3 linked regions of the Callithrix jacchus genome follow. The protein of the gene in region 1 interacts with the protein of each later gene in a pairwise test. Links are inferred from orthologs where the notes say so. Each region holds a gene or a part of one and is shown in the gene's direction. Other genes may lie near its edges. The genes, in order: SALL2, CEP76 and ZMIZ2.

Region 1 (4,422 bases):
TCTACAAGGCAATTCTTTACACAAAATTCTTAACAATTATCTTCAGCGTCTGTGTGAGCACATTACAGAGAGCTCAAAAATTCACTAGGAGTCCATCACACTATTAGAAAGCTCCATTATAGTGAGCTGAAAATTCCTCCTTTTAGCATGCAGCCTGAGGTACTACAGGACTCATCTAAGTCATATTCGCAGAGGCATCCCTTCAACCCTGAGAACTGCAGAGGATTGGGAGAGAGAGAAAGGCCCTGGCCTTCTGGGTATTTTATTTTATTTATTTATTTTTGAGACGGAGTCTCATTCTGTTGCCCAGGCTGGAGTGCAGTGGCTCCATCTTGGCTCACTGCAACCTCCACCTCCTGGGTTCAAGTAATCCTCCTTCCTCAGCCTCCCGAAGCAGCTGGGATTATAGGAGCTCACCACCATGCCCAGGTTGTTTTTTTTTTTTTTTTTTTTTTTAGTTGAGACGGGGTTTTATACAATGTTAGCCAGGCTGGTCTTGAACTCCTGACCTCAGGTGATCCACCCGCCTCGGCCTCCCAAAGTCCCGGGATTACAGGTGGGAGCCACCATGCCCAGTCTAATTTTTCTATTTTTAGCAAAGACAGACTTTGACCATGTTGGCCAGAATGGTCTCCATCTCTTGACCTTATGATTTGCCTGCCTTGGCCTCCCAAAGTGCTGGGATTGCATGCATGAGCCATTGAGCCTGGTCCTGGCTTTTTTTTTTTTTTTAAGACGAAGTTTCACTCTTGTTACCAAGGCTGGAGTGCAATGGCATGATCTAGGCTCACCGCAACCTCTGCCTCCTGGGTTTGAGCAATTCTCCTGCCTCAGCCTCCCTAGTAGCTGGGACTACAGGCACATACCACCATGCCCAGCTAATTATTTGTATTTTTAGTAGAGACGGGGTTTCACCCTGTTGACCAGGATGGTCTCGATCTCTTGACATCATGATCCACCTGCCTCGGCCTCCCAAAGTTCTGGGATTACAGGCGTGAGCCACCGCACCCAGCCCAGTCCTAGCTATTTTAAATGAGATTCCTTGAGATCAATCACTTTTTTTCATGATAGCAGTTGGGGAGCATATTGTGTCTTTTCTGCTATAGAGGAAACAATGTTAGACTACTGTCAGATGCATCTGGATTCCAGGCCTGTGTCTGATACATCATAGCTGTGCACCTTTGGAGAGGTTACTTAACTTCACTGGGCTTTTTGATTCATCTTAAAGGGGATCAGCTATAAATAGTAGTAAAGCCTACTGTGCTTATCTCAGAGTTGTAATATTCAAAACACATCACAAATGAAAATATTCTATAAATTATAAAGAGCTATACATATATTACTCATAATTGGGATACATCAGAAAGTTATTTCAGTTTATACCCCAGAAGCAGCCACATTATCAAACAGAAGGGCATAGAAATATGACAGAACCAAAAAGCACGGTGCAGATCTTGGAGAAGAGTTAGAAAAACAAGCCAAGGACAGTCTCTGAACAGACAACATAGGGAGAGGCCCAGGGCCCTTGCAGGGAGGAGAGGGTTAAATCCTTTCCTCTGCAGTACAAAAGAAAAGAGTGTGCGGAAAGATTAGGATTTTTGCTTTTACAATGGGAGCTGCAGAAGCGTAGGGAAGAAGCTGAAGAAAAAAAGGGGGCGTCTCCCCTTTAAAGACTTGCAAAGATTGAGAGAGAAAGAGAGAGAGTCAAGAACAGAGAATCAGAGGAGAGAGAGAGAGAGAGAGAGAGAGAGAGAGAGAGAGAGAGAGAGAGAGAGAGAGTGTGTGTGTGTCTGTCTGTCTCTGGGAAAGGAGAACATCTCTGCTTCACAGTGATTTGCACTGGGGGAGAGGCATCAATTGGCTTCGGACCCAAAGGGGAGACGAGACCAGGTCGCCCCGGTTAAGACTAAGTGAGCGTGCCCCTCCCTCTCCCAACTCTCTCTACCCGGGAATGTCTCGGCGAAAGCAGCGGAAACCCCAACAGTTAATCTCGGACTGCGAAGGTCCCAGCGCGTCTGAGAACGGTGGGTGCCTGGGAAGGGGTGGGGGGCCCCTGAGTCCAAGCCTGTGTAGGTCAGGCCAGGGCAAGGGGAGGGCACTCGGGCCATGGGCGAAACCAGGCGGGGGCGGACTTGGTCTCTGGGGGTTTGAAGGAGTTGAGATGCAGGGAGTAAAAAGATGACCTGCGCTGGGGAGAAGCCCCGCTTGTTACTCGGGATTGATTCTGTTTGTGTTTTCCTTGTTTTTCTCTGGATGAAATGGAGTTTTCAAACTGGCTCTGTCTCCCCACCCAAGAGTTTTCTCCTCAGGTCTCCCTTTGCACACTGGTCTTTGTGCCGTTGCTAAGTAACGTCCTCAGACCTGAAGACCGTCTCTTAGGGGTGGGATTTTCCCCCCTTTTCTTTCTGGAGAGTTGGGTTGCAAGAGAATGAATTGGACAAACGTGAAGGCTCCCCTGAGGGAGACGAAAGAAAAGTTTCTCATTGTTGGGCTGAACTGAGAGCCGATCGGAGCTCCCAGAGGGAGAGAGCTAATGTCGGTCAGAATGCAGCCTGGTTTGGGGTGTGTATGGTGTCACCTGGAGGAGAGCTGAAGGATGGGTCTGGATGAGGGTCTTAGTTTGTGCTTAAAGGAAGGCAAAGCAAAAAAAAAAAAAAAGTGCAAGGGAACACACCTGTTACTACATGCATATCATTTTATGAGAATATCATGTTTTTGAAGCAACAGGTGTCCCTTAGGGGGAAAAAAATTGCCTGGGTGATTTTTTTTTTTTTTTTTTTTTTTAAGACAGAGTTTCACTCTTGTTTCCCAGGCTGGAATGCAATGGCATGATCTCGGCTCACTGCAACCTCCACCTCCCAGGCTCAAGTGATTCTCCTCCTGAGTAGCTGGGATTACAGGCACCCACCACCATTCCCGGCTAATTTTTGTATTTTTAGTAGATGTGGGGTTTCACCATGTTGGCCAGACTGGTCTCGAACTCCTGACCTCAGGTGATCTGCCCACCTCAGCCTCTGAAAGTGCTGAGATTACAGGCATGAGCCATCACGCCCGGCCCCTGAATGTATTCTTATAACATTCCATTAAGTGACAGGCAGACAGTAGAGCAGGCAGGGAATTGAAGAGTAAAATTGTCCAGAGTGTGAGAGACAGAGGCAAAATCAGGGCGAAAACTTAAATTTCGTAATGCTCAAGGCTGGTGGTGCTCACTCCACTAAACCAGGGTTTGAAAAACTTGCTTGACTGAGTATATCTGAGCTAGGATGTGGGAATCTCTATATTTTGCAAGTGTCCAAGTAATTTTTAGGATCAAAGAAGTTTTGGACATACTTGTCAGTCGTATGGCTCCATATGTGCACACTGAAAGTCCTGGCTCGAGAGGCAACTCTTTAGCATACAGTTGATACACCCAACAATATAGGATAGAATTAAGCACAAGCATTCTGAAACCAGACTTTCAGACAAATCCCAGCTCCACCACTTGGTTAGCTGTGTGACCATGGCTAGCTTATTTTGCCTCTCTATGCTTCAGTTTCCTTATCTGAAGTAAAGCAGAGATGTGTATACTAGCTACCTCATTAGGTTGTTGTGAAAATCTAAATGAGTTAATATGTGTAAAACTCTTGGAAAAATACCTAGCATAAAAAGGTGCTTAATATGTGTAGTAAAGCACCTAGCATGCATGGTGTTTAATATGTGTAAATATTGTTATCATTTGTGAATGCAGTGGTACTTCCTGCAAGTGCTGTAATATGACCGAAACTCAGGAACCTCTTGGCAAATGTCAGCATTTCTTTATGAGAAATGTGCCATGAAAAGCTCTAAGGTAGTGTATTGGTGGTAGTTAAAATTAATTCTAGATTAAACTTGCCTTTCCACATGTTAGCAAAAAAAACAAAAGCCTGAGGTCAAATCAGTGCTCCAGGTGCTATGAAATAACCTTAACAGACATACTATGTTTTGGGCAGAACACATCCTCCCCAAATCACTGCTTTTCTGGGATCCTACTGTGCCCATATTTAGAGGTTCTGTGGTGATGGCATCCTTCCCTCCTGAGACACATTAACCCTTCTTAATGCTGCTATAGGCCGGATGTTTCTTACTTGTGCTCTACAGGAGACTTCCCCTAGAGCCTCAACTCTTTTCCAGAGCTGCCTCACAGTTCTGCTCCCCTGCTGGTTTGACTGTGGAAGTTTGCTGAACACCCCTCCAAGCCCCCAAGAAGCACCCTCTCCTCTTCTTCCTACTTCTCCCATCTGCTCACCCATTCCCCATACCAGAGCTGAGGAAAAATATTCTGTTAGGGAGTCAGAAGCTATTTTTAACAGCTGTCCTGAATGGATTTTCAAGCCCTTTAAGATACAGCTCCCACTTGGGGGCATGGTAATGCTGCGACAAAGCCATCCCCATAGAAACAGGAAA
Region 2 (3,380 bases), on another chromosome or scaffold:
GGTTCCTTATTCCACTCTCTACCGTGGGTGTTTTCTGTGTTCTTTGAGGCTGTCAAAGGCAAACTGATTTATCAAACATGTTCTCTGGGTTCCCAGTTACTCTTAGCTTTGGCCTCTAATATATTCCTTATTCAGGCTAGGCACGGTGGCTAATGCCTGTAATCCCAGCACTTTGGGAGGCTGAGGTGGGCAATTCACCTGAGGTTGGGAGTTTGAGACCAGCCTGACCAACATGGAGAAACCCTGTCTCTACTAAAAAATATAAAATTAGCTGGGCATGGTGGCACATGCCTGTAATTTCAGCTACTCGGCAGGCTGAGGCAGGAGAATTGCTTGACCCCAGGAATTGGAGGTGCGGTGAGCCAAGATCATGCCATTGTACTCCAGCCTGGCCAAGAAGAGCAAAACTTCGTCTTAAAAAAATGTGTGTGTGTGTGTGTACATATTCCTTATTTGCTTGTCAACTCATCAAAGCATTTAAATGTATATTTTGGAAAATCTGGAGTTTGTAGTGTGTTTTTAAGCAAGAGTTGATCAGGAGACCTCTGGTCCATTATATTGCTGGAGATGAAAGCCCCTTATTACTTTCTCTTTCCTTCCATCACTTGTATTACCTTTAGCTTTCTTTTCTTAGGTTCTGCTTATAAATAAAAGCAATATTTTATTTTATAATAATTACTTTTGGCCAGGCACAGTATCTCACACCTGTAATCCCAGCAGTTTGGGAGCCTGAGATGGTTGGATCACTTGAGCTCAGGAGTTCAAGACCAGCCTGGGTGAGAATCCATCTCTACAAAAAAATACAAAAATTTAGCCGGGCATCGTGTCACATGCCTATAGTCCCAGCTACTTGGATGCTAAGGTGAAAGGATCAGTTTAACTGGGGAGGCAGAAGTTGTAGTAAGCTGAGATGATACCACTGCACTCTAGTCTGGGTGACAGGGTAAGACCCTGTCTCAAAAAAAAAAGGAATTACTGTTTATAGAAAAAGAAAATAAAGCTGTGATAGATGCCAGTGTTGATCACTACTTAAGGGTGCCTATAAATCAGCAAAGGTTCACATTTTGCCACGGGAAAAGCATTGTTAATCATGGACCTTTGAGATCATTTGTGACAAGTTACCTTGAATGTAAAATAAGGAAATGCCAAACATCTATTATGATAATCAAAATATCTAGAATTTGGAGAATTTTTTATATTTGTAACAATATTATTTTTAACTTCTTGTGTCTAGATAGCAATAGGTCATTTGGTGTTATAAATGGAATCATGGGCTGGGCTCAGTGGCTCACACCTGTAAATCCTAGCACTTTGGGAGGCCAAGGTGGGTGGAACACTTGAGGTCAGAAGTTTGACATCAGCCTGGCCAACACGGTGAAACCCTGTCTTTACTAAAAATACAAAAATTGGTTGGGCTTGCTGGCGGGTACCTGTAATCCTAGCAACTCCTGAGGGTGAGGCAGGAGAATCGCTTGAACCTGGGAGGCAGAAGTTGCAGTGAGCCAAGATCGCACCACTGCACTCCAGCCTGGGCAACAGAGTAAGACTCTGTCTCAAAAAATTAAAAAAAAAAAAAATGGAATCATGTTGTTTTTAACATTCTATAGAAATATGTTTTAAGCCCCCTAGGGGCCTATAACATGTCTTCATCTTTTTATCTCTTACACTAAGTTTTATAGAGTACATGTTCAGTAAATATTTGTTTAATTACATATAGGATTCATTTGCTGACTTTGCTCCCCTCTGCAGTTGAGTTTATGGTAGGAACAGTCAGTCTTTAGTAAACAGATTCAATCTTAATAAACTCTTTAAGTAAAATATCTCAAAATTCACTAACACTCCATATTAGGACTGTTTCATACAGTATTTTCTAGTAGATATTAAAGAAGTACAGGATTTGGAGCCTTCATGAAACATCACTGTTTCGAATGTTTGGTTTTTCTGAGAAGTAAAATCTGATCACCTATAGTTTCTTTTATCTGACTTTTATTTCTATGCATCTTTGTAATTATGAAAATATTATGATAGCTTTTAAAAATCTTTTCTTGGTATACATTAAAATAATCAACATTTTTATTTAGCTGGTTTTAAAAATATTAATGTATTTCATTTTTTCTTTTTCTCTTGATTGCTTATAGGACCTTGGTCTCACTACTGTTTGGGAAGACCAGCTGTCCTATCTTCTTTCACCAGCTTTGGCTTCTTATGAATTTGAGCGTACAACAAGTATATCAGCAGGCAATGAAGAATTTCAAGATGCCATAAGAAGGGCTGTACCTGATGGTCATACATTTAAAGGGTTCCCAATACATTTTGTGTATAGAAATGCAAGACGTGCATTTGCCACATGTCTTCGGTAAGATGTAATTTGTGGAATCAGGTTTTCAGTTTAGGAATCTTAGAGATCAGTCTGATAGGGGTTTTTTATTTCCTTTTTTTTTTTCAAAGTCAAGGTCTCACTGTGCTGTCCACACTGGAGTACAGTGGCACATTTATGGTTCACTGCAGCCTTGACTTCCCGGGCCCGTGAAAGGCCTTCCACCTCACCCTCCCAAGCAACTGGGGCCACAGGCATGCACCATCATACTTGGCTATTTTTTTTCTTTATTTTGTAGAGATGGGGGTCTTCCTGTGTTGCCCAGGCTGGTATTGAAATTCCTGGGCTCAAGCAGTCTTCCCACTTTGTCCTCCTAAAGTGCTGGGATTACAGGTATGAGCCATTGTACCTGGCCTAATCTGGTAGTTATTTAGGAATGACATCAGAGTCACATGGGATCTTTTACAATGACTTACCCTCCTTGCCACAGATTTTGATTCATTAGGTCTGAAATGTAGCCCTAGATAGTCTGGGATTATTTTCTCAGTGATTTTGGTACAGTCTCAGTCAGGTATCTCTGATTTTGTTTGGACAATATGGAAATAGTCTATGATTTGAATAGCTTGACCAAAATTACAGTGTCTTTGATAGCATTGACAGAATTTGAAAAAATTATTTTATTTATTATTCATTTTTGAGATGGAGTCTCAGTCTGTTGCCTAGGCTGGAGTACAGTGGCACAATCTTGGCTCATCACAACCTCCGCCTCCCGGGTTCAAGAGATTCTTCTGTCTCAGCCTCCCAAGTAGCTGGGATTACAGGTGCCTGCCACCACACCTGGCTAATTTTTGTAATTTTTAGTAGAGACGGGTTTCACCATGTTGGCCAAGCTTGTCTTGAACTCCTGACCTCAGATGATCCACCTGCCTCAGCCTTCCAAAATTCTGGGATTACAGGCATGAACCACCTTCCCTAGCCTGAAAAAATTATTTTAAATATTGATTTACTTGGAAATAAAAAAGTGAGGTGCATGGTCACTTCTTAATTGAATATATATTTTTTC
Region 3 (4,435 bases), on another chromosome or scaffold:
AAAATGAGAACATTCCCTAGAAAGGAGTGGGCACCAGGTGGCCTCTCACAGGGGCACAGGGCAGGAGTTGTTGAAGCAGGAGGTAACAGAGATGCGTGTGAGATGTTTGGTGTGGCCACTTCCAGCATCCTCCACGAACCTGCCTGCAACCAACCCCCCCCAAGAAATGTAGCCTCTTCCGAGACAGAGGAATGGTCAGGGTCTCCTCTTACCTGTCAGCCCCCATATTCAGGTCTTTTCTTCAGGGCCAGCTCCCCAGAGAATTCATCCCCATACCTCATCACTCCCTCCCCATTCTCTGGTCCTGCTTTAGTTTTCTTCCTAACGCTCTTCCTGAGGGACACATTGTTACCTGTTAACTCATTTCCTTCTGTTTGTCCCCTCGAACATGCTTGATGTAAGGATGGAAGGGTCTTACTGTCCTGGTCCCTGGGGCAGACCAGTGTTCACAGATCCCAGACCAGTGACTGCTGTGCAGCAGGCCTACCATATTTGTTCGATGGACGAATGATTCCCAAAAGAAACAGAGCACAGAGTTCAGAGGCGGCCTTGGGCAAAAAATTTCTACAATGTCAAAAATTAATTGTGGAGTATCCATCAATGGATGAATGGGTAAGCTAAATGTGGAATATACGTACAATGGAATATTACTATTTGGCCATAAGAAAGAAGGAAATTTGGCTGGGCACCGTGGCTCATGCCTTTACTCCCAGCACTTTGGGAGGCCGAGGCGGGCGGATCATGAGGTCAAGAGATCGAGACCATCCTGGCCAACATGGTGAAACCACGTCTCTACTAAAAAAATAAATAAATAAATACAAAAATTAGCCGGGCGTGGTGGCCCGCGCCTGTAGTCCCAGCTACTTGGGAGGCTGAGGCAGGAGAATTGCTTGAACCCGGGAGGCGGAGGTTGCAGTGAATCGAGATTGTGCCACTGCACTCCAGCCTGGCACCTGGCGACTGAGCGAGACCCCGTCTCAAACAAACAAACAAAAAATTAATTATGGGTAGTAGAGAGAATGTGGTCTTCCTTTTGTTTTTTTGCTTCGTTTTGTTTTTCCAAGTACTTGCTATGAGAATGTGGTCTTCCTAAACTTACCGTAGGAAAAGTTAAAAATAACTTAAAGGCTGACAATAGCATTTCAAAGGTCGCAACTGATCAGAGAGGCTATTTCATCAGGCCAGACTAGCTGAATAGTGACTTTTTCCAAGAGGAGAACCGCTGGAGAGAGAACTGAGCAGTGAGGAAAGCGAACTTGTTCGGTTAAGTTTGATTTTCTGCTTTAACGAGAGGCTTCCCGAGTCCCTTAAGATCCCCTCCCACAAGAGGCACTCCAGGTCTCTCCGCCTACCTGTCTTGTCCCCGCCCTCCGGGCCACAGCAATGGACTCCCAAGAGGCAGAGGCGGCGCGGGCGAGGCGGGTGGGGGAAGGGCCAGGACTCACTCTTCCTTTTCCCCTCGGCCGGGGCCCGCCCCAGCCCTGGCCCCGCCCCGGCCCTCTGGCTCCGCCTCCTCCTCACGACCCCGCCCCGGTACATTGGCCCCACCACCCACTCGGCCCCTCCCCGGGGTCCTGGCCCCGCCTCCGCCACCCGGCCCCGCCCCGCTCCCGGCGGACTGAGAGCAGGAAGCGCGCGGTGTCTCCGCCGACGCCGCGTTCGGAAAGGTGTGGAGGGGGCTGGGGGCGCAGGTCGTGGTCAGGCTGCGTCTCCTACCCGCCCAGCCACCTGCGGCCCTGGCCCCACCCCGCCGCTTTGGGCCGCTCAGGCTCGCGGCCGCCCCCGCTCCGAGCGCTGGCTCGGGGCTCCGCTGCTCTGGCCTGGGAGGCGGGGCCGGCTGCGCGGCGTCATGCATATGCATGAGCGGCGCGGCGGCGGCTCCATTGTGCCCTCGGAGCGGGCGGCGGCGCGATGGCGCGGGTGGCGGCGGCCCCGGGGCGGCAGGCGGCGCGGAGGGCGGGCTGAGCGCATGGAGCGGCGCGGGCCGGGGGCCGCCACGGCGAGGGGCCAGGCCAGGCCGGGCGGAGGTGAGCGGGGCCCTGGGGGTGGCCCCTGGCAACGCCGCCCGCGTGCAGGTGCGGGCCGGCGGGGGCGGGCAGGTGCGGCAGGTGCGGGCCGGCAGGTGCGGGCGGGCAGGTGTAGCCGGTACCCCGGGGTGCCCCGGTCCCGCTGCGGCGCCACCGTAGGGTACCCAGCCGGGCTGGGGCTGGAGGCTCTGCCGCCCACCTGCCGGCACCTGCCACGCGTGCGTCGTGGTCTTGGTCAGGCGCGGCCCCGTGGGCGTCAGGGTCGTCCAGCCCTCCCCTGAGTCTTTGTTGGAGGCTGGCCGAGGGATGTAAGCGGCGCTTGAGGTTGTCCTGAGCGGTGAAGGCTGGCCGGGCCTTCACTCAAACATGATCGTTCATGGCTCGGGCCAGGCAGTCTCACCTTCATGATACGCCCCTCCGCTTCCACTTACGTGCCCACCAGCAGGGCGATGTGGGGGCCCTCCGAGGCAGTCACCAGCCCGAGGAGGAGCTGTTCCGCTCCTGAGCTGAATAACGCTGACCTGCCAGCCCCCAGCTGGCAGTTTTGATGGGGACACCCCTTTCCAAACTGGACATACTGAAGCTCAGGTGTGAGGATGCCCTCCTCCCCTGAGGTACCTTGTCTTCCCTAGCGCCCTATTCCCGGCAGGTGTCCTTCACCGCGACCCCCCTACACACACCCGGTGCCTTATTTACCCCTCCACCTACCCTGTCTTTTCCCCCATTCCCTGGACCCTCTAGCCTGCAGTGCTCTGCTTCCCCTTCTCCCTAGGGTACCCTCTTTCCAGTATTACAGGACATCCATGGTGGTCTTTAATTTGTGTCATCACAGATTTCACAGGGACACACACAGAACATGTGACTTGGTCTGAGACCGTGGTGATTACAGATAGGATGGACACAGCATCACCACCAAGTTCTGGCAAGCTAGAACCAGAGGGCATCCCTGGATGCTTAGTGTGGAAACAGAAGTGAAGGAATCTTAACTTCCGGGGGTACTGACCTCTAGCCCTTGTCACACCTAGGGGGTAGTTACAAGCTGCAAGTGTAAATGAGAACAAGCAGGTGACAGTTGCCAGTTTAGATTTCTGAAGGACAGGCCTAAGATGTTTGCGGAGCATCCTGATGATTGGGATTGAGCTCCCAAGGGCTGATGACATGAAGGTGGTCATGTGTCCTCAGGCCTTGGATGCCAGCAGATACCCATCGTACACATGGTAAACTGATGCCAGGTTAAGGTTGTTCCTTCAGCTGTTCACTGAAATGTCTCATGCCTGGGCCATTGCTCGTTCCTGGACTTTTTGATTAACTCTGCATCTTGACTTAGCCCCACGCTGAGGCAGTTTAGTATTGTGGCCTTACAGATAGAGGGGTAGGACTTCCAGGTACCTGTACATGTGAGCACCCTACCTTTTGCTACCAAGGACCCTGCTCCTGCCCCATTTCTTCAAGACCCTTTGACTCCACTGTCACTTAGGTTGGATCCAGAACCTGACCCTGCAACTTTGGAGACAGTGAGTCCCGATTTGTGACCTATTGAGAAGGGTTGGCCTGCCACAGGGTCTACTCGCTGGTCCTGCTCCTAGCTTACTAGGCAGGCAGAGAGGTGGCATGGAACAAGGCTTAGGAGGTTCACTAGGAGACTTAGGGGTGCAGTTGCTCTGGGACACTTGGGAAAGAAAGGTTTGGGTAGTGAGTCCTGTAGCTCCATGTTTAGAGGAAGGTGTGATCTGACCCCCAGAAAGCCTTGTGGCCTTCTAGACTGACCTCGTCCATCTGTCAAGGGGTCCTAGCTTCAAGCTGGAGTTAGTGTACAAGGAAAGCCCCAGGTGATAAGCCCCTCTGTGGGCATGGGCCTTGCATGATCTGGGATCCAGGTTCCAGGCTCCAGGCTTGTTCCCAGCCCAGACTCAGAGCCAGGGGATAGGAGGAAGATCTGCACACACACAACACAGAATGCTTCCCTATGGTCAGGAGCAGAGGGTCAACGATACCAGACCTGGAGACAGGGAGTCTTCCCAGGGAGACTGTCCTCAGAGAGGAGACCAGAGGTATGAGTTCGGGTCGGCAGGAAATCCCCCTGTGTAGTGAAGAATAAGCTCAGAGGGAACTGGAAATCTTTGTGGTCTCTGTCCACACCAGAGAAGCATCAAGGGTGGAATTCCCCAAGCCGATGTGACATAGGAGCCTGCTGTGGGCTCCTCCCCTCCCTGTACCTGGCCTGTGCCCCTTCTCCCCAGCTCTCTGCATTTCCTGGAACTGAGGCTCTCAAGCTAGTCCCTGGACCAGCAGCAGCACTAGCTGTAAATTGTTAGAAATTTTGGACTTAGGCCCCAGCCCATCCTACTGCTTTTAGGTGGAGCTGGGCAGCCTCTCATCACCAGCTGCAAACTGGCTTTGACATGCTG

What was found.
Region 2: the proteins of SALL2 (region 1) and CEP76 interact in binary tests that used the Homo sapiens proteins (3 or more experiments, as listed by UniProt). The two-hybrid records come from large-scale screens. The link is inferred for Callithrix jacchus from reciprocal best matches to the Homo sapiens genes SALL2 and CEP76.
Region 3: the proteins of SALL2 (region 1) and ZMIZ2 interact in binary tests that used the Homo sapiens proteins (3 or more experiments, as listed by UniProt). The two-hybrid records come from large-scale screens. The link is inferred for Callithrix jacchus from reciprocal best matches to the Homo sapiens genes SALL2 and ZMIZ2.

The regions. Positions count from the first base shown.
Region 1 is NC_133509.1:56,041,243-56,045,664, reverse strand, and holds the start of SALL2 (sal-like protein 2), read left to right. Parts: upstream 1-1,591; 5' UTR 1,592-1,951; coding exon 1,952-2,024; intron 2,025-4,422. UniProt on the Homo sapiens protein: Probable transcription factor that plays a role in eye development before, during, and after optic fissure closure.
Region 2 is NC_133514.1:49,822,671-49,826,050, forward strand, and holds part of CEP76 (centrosomal protein of 76 kDa), read left to right. Parts: intron 1-2,138; coding exon 2,139-2,356; intron 2,357-3,380. UniProt on the Homo sapiens protein: Centrosomal protein involved in regulation of centriole duplication. Required to limit centriole duplication to once per cell cycle by preventing centriole reduplication.
Region 3 is NC_133512.1:12,827,869-12,832,303, forward strand, and holds the start of ZMIZ2 (zinc finger MIZ domain-containing protein 2), read left to right. Parts: upstream 1-1,595; 5' UTR 1,596-1,667; intron 1,668-1,873; exon of another isoform or gene 1,874-2,027; intron 2,028-4,435. UniProt on the Homo sapiens protein: Increases ligand-dependent transcriptional activity of AR and other nuclear hormone receptors.